Macaca fascicularis: one gene and its partner. The protein of the gene in region 1 purifies or fractionates together with the protein of each later gene. This does not show direct contact. Links are inferred from orthologs where the notes say so. Each region holds a gene or a part of one and is shown on either strand. Other genes may lie near its edges.

Region 1 (3,652 bases):
GTATTTTTTGTCTCCCATTTGTGCCTTAGCACTAAGTATAGAATGATATATATTTAAAATATTATGTATTTATTGGATAAACAAAAGAAAAGATATATCTCGCTTTTCTCTGATTTTTTTCCCTCTACCATTTCATTGCCCACTGTGTTCCCGAAAATAAGTATCAGTTGCATTAAAATGGAAATCTCTATGGACATAGCTTCTTCACTCTTAGCAATTCTTTTCCCTGTCTGCAAAATTTTCTTGTTTATTTTTCACTGACCTGTTCTGATCTAAAATCAACTTTTTTCCCCCCTTCCTTAAGCTTTTTTATTTCGGGGAACCCTTTTAGAGTAATTTTGTATTGTTCAACTATTACCCGCTTGGAATATACACACATATATATGTATGTATACCTACAACCAACTTGTATTTTGGGGTGGGGTAGTACAGGAAAAACAATGTAAAGATTAAAATTCTCAATGTTAGCATTATATAATCAAAGGCTGATAGTTGGGGGAAGTTAACTGTACTAGAGTTTGAAAATTTAAGTCAGCTTTGAAGAAGAGATGAAGTGGACATTGTCTCTCCACTATCTTAATTTAAAATTTTATTTAACCTGTATTTAAGGCTTTTCATTCCCCTGTAAAATTTTTAAGGATTTCTGTTTTTTTTTTTTTGTTATTGTTGTTGTGCATCTGAGTGGAGAATAGAGAAAAAATTAGCATGGTGAAACTAAAAATTGGTTAAAATGTGTGACTGTCTTGCTAAAGGGATATTATGGCTATCAACTAAAATAAAAGTAAGTAGGATGGGTTGGTTCATGAATCTTTCTTAAATTGTTCATATCTTTTCCACTGTCAAAGAAAATTAGATTGGTTATAAAGTTTTTACAAAGAAATTTCTTTTCCTTTAAGCTTATTTAAATATTTTATCAAATGAAGTCTGTGAGGCATATTAGAGATAAAGGAGATTTATAATACATTTATGTAACATTTCACATATCTAACTTATTTGGTACTCATCAATATTATAATTGTATTTATCCTTTTAATTTATTGGGTAATATTTATCGTACTAATTTTTCCTTTTTTACTTTTAGCAAAGTGTGGGATGCTGTCTCAGGAGATGAATTGATGACCCTGGCTCATAAACACATTGTCAAGACTGTGGATTTCACGCAGGTATCAGAAAATTGAATTTATTTTAGCAAGTTAAGTTGCTATTATATAGTGTGACAATGCTTTTATATTTGATTGGTGTGTATATTTGATATATTTTGTGTGGAATATTTGTTATGTCTTGGTTCATATTTAATTTGATTGTATATTAAGCTCTATGAATTTGTTTCATGGTTAATCCTGTCAAGCTTTTAAGATACCGTGGAACAAGTACCAGTCCTTCAACAAGCAAAAAACATCTGAAAAGCTCAAGTAACCTTTCTCACCTACTAATAGAAGTGAGAAGATAAATTTCAGATAATCAGAAAAGGGCCTCTCACAAGGGAGAGGAGTAGGATCAGGGGAGAATGGGAGAGTTCATGTATATGTAGCGTAATGTAACGCTTTTGCCCACTGGAAAGCTCACAAGGCTTGGTAGTTATGAGAGGGCAGCTGTTCCACAGTATCTTCTCAGAAGTAATTGGTTATGTCTTGCATCTCTTTGTGATGTCTGTGAGCTAGATTTTGATTTTATTTGGTGTTGAAGTTTGAAAGAGAAATAACTATTAAAATGGTTAACCTATTCACATTTTGTGTTTTCAGGATAGTAATTATTTGTTAACCGGGGGACAGGATAAACTGTTACGCATATATGACTTGAACAAACCCGAAGCCGGTAAGCATAATTTAAACATCAGCTTGTAGTTTTACTTTTTTTAAATTTAAATAACTGATTAAAGGATTTCATGCTCAGTACTCAAATTTGGAAAATAAAGATAGTCATGACCGGGCACGGTGGCACACGCCTGTAATCCCAGCACTTTGGGAGGCTGAGGCAGGTGGATCACTTGAGTTCAGGAGTTTGAGACCAGCCTGGCCAATTTGTCAAAACCCCGTCTCTACTAAAAATACAAAAATTAGCCAGGTGTGGTGGTGGGCGCTTGTAATCCCAGCTACTCAGGAGGCTGAGGCAGGAGAATTGCTTGAACCCGGGAGGTAGAGGTTGCAATGAGCCAAGATCACGCCACTGCACTCCAGCCTGGGCAACAAGAGTGAAATGCCGTCTCAAAAAAAAAAAAATTAGTCACAAAGAAGAAAATTAAAACATAATTCACCCGTTTTTGGTTTATAAACTTTCAGTCTTTTTTATCCTGCAGTTTAAAAAAAAAAAAAACAGTTTATCTGCCACGTTGCTATTGTATAACCTCCCAAATTGAAAATTTATTATGGCAAAAAATTTTATCATTATATTAAGTTTTAAAACACTGTAGAACAGTGTTACTATTTTTTGGTAAGAAAGAGTGGTTATTTATAGAAGGTGGTGATGGTGGGAATTCTCAGTTGTGTGCACATATTGCTTACATTTTTGAACCATGTAAATATATTAGCTATTTGAAAGAATTTTTAAAAATCTGCAATTACAGTTTTTTCATGTCACTAAATAGTCTGTGAACTCTTTGTAATGACTTTCTGGTTTTCCATCCTGTGGATATATCATAAGTGAATTAACTAGTTTCCTGTTTTGGCCTGTTTGGGCTATCTACAAATTTTAAATGTTAAAAGCAGTATTATGCTAAACATCCTTGTAGTTGCAGATATTTTCATAATGATTTCCTTAAGATAACTAAGCAAAGTAGAATTGGTGGGACAAAGAGAAGTAGAATTGCTGGAAGGTGGCCGGGTGCAGTGGCTCACACCTGTAATCCCAGCACTTTGGGAGGCCAAGGTGAGCGGATCACCTGAGGTCAGGAGTTTGATACCAGCCTGGCCAACACGGTGAAACCCCATCTCTACTAAAAGTACAAAAAATTAGCTGGGCATGGGCATGGTAGTAGGCGCCTGTAATTCCCAGGTACTCAGGAGGGTGAGGTAGGAGAATCGCTTGAACCTGGGAGGTAGTGGTTGCAGTGAGCCAAGATTGTGCCATTGCATTCCAGCCTGGGGGACAACAGCGAAACTCCTTCTCAAAAAGAAAAAAAAAAATGAATTGTTGGAAGCCACTGATAGATAGTACCAAAATGTCTTCCAACAAAGTATAGGTATATATATGTATCTATACCCAACATGTTCTAGTGAACACTGATAATTAACTTTATCTTTGTCAATTTAAGAAAATAATTCTGTTGTATTAATGCGAAAATTCATGAGATTAAAATGCTGTTGAATACCATTTTAACGTATTTCCTTTTTTATGAAATAATTGCCTGTCTACCCGTGGCCCATTTATCTGTTGTGTTCATGTTTTTCTTACTGGTTTTTAAAGATTCTTTATTGAATTCCAATTTATCATTCGCTTTTAAATTTTGTTAAGGCGGTTTTATGGTGTGTACTTTTTAACATTTTGGTGGTGAAATCCTTTATGCATTCTCTCATTTTACAGAAGTTATAGGTGTCATCCCCACTCTACATACTTTATTTTATAATATTTTAATCATTGCCCTCACCATATATATATACTTAGCTACCAAAACATGACAAACATAATTTTGTTTTATTATATGTTTGGTATCTTT
Region 2 (3,652 bases), on another chromosome or scaffold:
TGAACCTGGGCATTTCTGACCCAAAGCCCTTATCACTTGCTGTCACAGCATTTCTTCAAACTACTTCCTTGGCCTTGGAGAGAGCTGGAGAGCCAGCAGCATTAGTCTATTCAAATTTTATGTATAATTTTGAGATTTCTGGATTCCCTGGGGACTCTGCACTCTCAGCCAGCTAAGGAGTCCTTGACAGTGGTTGCTGCAGGTCTCTGTGGGTCTTGACCCATAATTTTCATAGGTTTTTGAAGCTTCAGTATGAGGACTGGCATTCTTCTGTGTCTATTATTTTTTCCCTTAGAGTATATTCCTGCCCTTCCTTTCATCCTCAGTGAGAAGACTTCTAGATTAAAATGCATGGTTTCTACCTAGTACATGTATAGGTGGTGTACATTGGGACACCTTTAACAGTCACAATAGTTGCATATGTCTTTCACTGGAAACCAAGATCATGAGGCAGATAGCGTGAAACTGCTATTTTAGCGTTTTGTGGGATTTAGTTGACATCATTAATGTGCAAACCAGTGTGGATATTTAATATTTTTCTTGAGTCTAATATTTGTTATGTAATATTTTGTGCATATGTCTGTGTACAGAGAAATGTCTGAAAGGATGTTCATCAAAATGTGGCAGTAAGGGGATGATTTTCAAAGTTATTTTTGCAAATTTTTTTTAGGTACATGGCCCCTGAAGTTCTTGATGATTCCATAAATATGAAACATTTTGAATCCTTCAAACGTGCTGACATCTATGCAATGGGCTTAGTATTCTGGGAAATTGCTCGACGATGTTCCATTGGTGGTAAATTGCTCCCCTCTCCCCCAACAGTTTGTCATGAGCAGAAGAAGTTGTTCGAGAATTGTCTTCTTTTTTTATTGAATGAAATTATGCACAATCCATTATCTGAAACAGGACATCACCGAGTGCCAGAGAAAACAAAGGCGATGAAACCTTTGGGAGGGGACAGTGCCATGGTGTGCACATGCACAGCTCTAGCCTAGTGTATTCTCTTCCTGTTTCCATTTGAATCTTGAGACTCATCAGAACCCAAACCCTTGTTATACTGGAATATAGTTCTTTAGAATGGACAGCTGCTTGAGAGGCTCACCTAGGAAGCTGTTTCTAGCATGTACCTAGGTGTCAAATTTATTTTTTTTCTTTGGCATTGTGGTTATTTTCTCCAACTTGATAGTTATAGATTACGTACACAGAATACAATTATGTTACCATTGTGTTGTTTTCTAGAGTTAGTTTGTCTTAACTTCTAGCGTTTTAGATGGAGTACTTATAATGTTTACTCAGGAAACAGTCTCTTAGGCTTGGGGACCTAGGCTTGGCTGAGACCTTAGTGCCTTATTAGTTTGAAGCAGTGAGGGACAGAGTATTTCTCTGTATTGTAGTAAATAGGATATATTATTGACAGATGCAAGTAGAGAAAGGGACTTGCACCTTAAACTTGCCTCATAGGATTTGTGTCTCACTGATAGGATCTATATATCCCTGTACAAGTGAGAGCCTGTGCACTTACAGAATAGAATCTCATTTGCTGCACAATAGGGTTCTAGGGGAAAATGTCAGTCTGGTGGTCACAGCTCACAGTTTACTGTCATTTCAAATAGGCTTTATTGATCTCTTGGCAATAGTTTCAAGGTGTGGGCAGAATATCAACTCAGGGAAGTGACTTGTTGATACAGATTTGGATGAGATAGAGAAAGCTGTAATCTCTGTTCCACCTACCTACTTTAGTAATAAGACACTGTAATAGGCCTCTCAGGTGATCTTTTTAATGCCTTGGCATTCGCTGAATACATTTATCAAAATTATTTTTTTTTAAACTGATACAGGAATTCATGAAGATTACCAGCTGCCTTATTATGATCTTGTACCTTCTGACCCATCAGTGGAAGAAATGAGAAAAGTTGTTTGTGAACAGAAGTTAAGGCCAAATATCCCAAACAGATGGCAGAGCTGCGAAGTGAGTATTTCTTTTTGATATTAGGCAATTTTCTAAACTTCTGCTTAGTAAGCAAAAGTTTGCTGCTTTTCTTTAAGGAAAACTTTTCTTTAAGAAGTTTCTTTTTCATAGCAGTCAAACCAATGTGTAAAAACAGAATAATTTGGTTTTCATATTCAATTGTAAGCACATTGAAAGGGCCGTGGAACATTTGCAGTGGCCTTTAGTATATCAGAACATAGTTTAGGTCTGTCAGGCGAACTAAAGCACATACTTTTTAAGTGAATGCCTCCCTTCAGCCAGGGCAACCCAGAATAATAGACAGTTGCTGGACAGGAATGAGGAGACCTATATTCTAGACCAGCCTGACTACCATTTCAAGGGTCTGACTTGGAACAAATCACTTTAGTTCTCTGAACCTTAATATCCCTTTGTAAGGTGAGGAACTCAGATAAGGTGATTACAAAGTTGTTTCAAGTGATTTTCCATTTTATTCATCTGATTGCCCAGATGACCATTAACCAGGAATTTAGGGAAAATGCTTTTTTTCCAGCAGTGTCTGAGCTTCTCAACCTCAGCTCTAACAAAAAGTTTTAGAAATGTTTTTGTAATTGTAAATTTAAAGATTCGTAAGATGAATTTTATTTAACCTCTCCTTAGTTGCTAGCTGTTACTATTATAATATTGGTGAAGCAGGGCATATTCCTCCGGGTTTGAAGGTTTGTAGCTTAAAAAGGCTATAAAAAGCTGTTCAGTTCAGTAGTTGGTTTTACATCTTAAACTATTATAGGACTCATCAGAACCTCTGATAACCAAGAGAGCTTGCTACCTCCAACAAAATCACATCTACAGGCCCAAATAAAATGTATTTCAGCATGCTCAAGGAATTTGCATGTGACATACTTTAACAAATGAGAGTGCTGCTAGATTTTGTCTTTTAGAAATTTGATCTACTCCGGAGGCTGAGGTGGGAGGATTGTTGGAGCCTGGGAGGTCGAGGCTGTAGTGAGCTGAGGGCATGCCATTGCATTCCACTTTGGGCCGCAGAGTGAGACCCTGTGTCAAAAAAAAAAAAAGAAAAATTTGATCTGGATACTTCAAAGTACAAACTTAAAATTTCAGTGTGAGGTCAGATTTCTTCTTTGCTTTGCCCAGCTCTGGTTTAGGATTCGACCTCTTCAGGTTTGCTGAGTGAGTTACTCTTTGTCTACCTGCTTTCCAGCACTGACACCAGTACCCTATTGATGGAAATTTGTGAAATTTCTACTCATTTGCTATTACAAACAATGCTTAACAACAACAACAAAGTGTATATGTCATTTAAAAAGAAAATTTACAGGTAAAAATTCTTATCCAGACCAATGGAAAATGGTGCATGCATTAATTTTTTTTTTTTTAATTATATTTTCTTGTAGGCCTTGAGAGTAATGGCTAAAATTATGAGAGAATGTTGGTATGCCAACGGAGCAGCTAGGCTTACAGCATTGCGGATTAAGAAAACATTATCACAACTCAGTCAACAGGAAGGCATCAAAATGTAATTCTACGACTTTGCCTGAACTCTACTTTTTTCTTCAGATCTGCTCCTGGGTTTTAATTTGGGAGGTCAATTGTTCTACCTCACTGAGAGGGAACAGAAGGATGTTGCTTCCTTTTGCAGCAGTGTAATAAAGTCAATTAAAAACTTCCCAGGATTTCTTCGGA

What was found. The genes of interacting proteins can lie anywhere in the genome.
Region 2: the proteins of STRAP (region 1) and TGFBR1 purify together in Homo sapiens (affinity purification with western blotting; 3 studies listed by BioGRID and IntAct, with this or other methods). This does not show direct contact. The link is inferred for Macaca fascicularis from reciprocal best matches to the Homo sapiens genes STRAP and TGFBR1.

Annotation. Positions count from the first base shown.
Region 1 is NC_088385.1:18,704,678-18,708,329, forward strand, and holds part of STRAP (serine-threonine kinase receptor-associated protein), read left to right. Parts: intron 1-1,081; coding exon 1,082-1,163; intron 1,164-1,742; coding exon 1,743-1,815; intron 1,816-3,652. UniProt on the Homo sapiens protein: The SMN complex catalyzes the assembly of small nuclear ribonucleoproteins (snRNPs), the building blocks of the spliceosome, and thereby plays an important role in the splicing of cellular pre-mRNAs.
Region 2 is NC_088389.1:58,978,357-58,982,008, reverse strand, and holds part of TGFBR1 (TGF-beta receptor type-1), read left to right. Parts: intron 1-670; coding exon 671-795; intron 796-1,838; coding exon 1,839-1,969; intron 1,970-3,363; coding exon 3,364-3,489; 3' UTR 3,490-3,652. UniProt on the Homo sapiens protein: Transmembrane serine/threonine kinase forming with the TGF-beta type II serine/threonine kinase receptor, TGFBR2, the non-promiscuous receptor for the TGF-beta cytokines TGFB1, TGFB2 and TGFB3.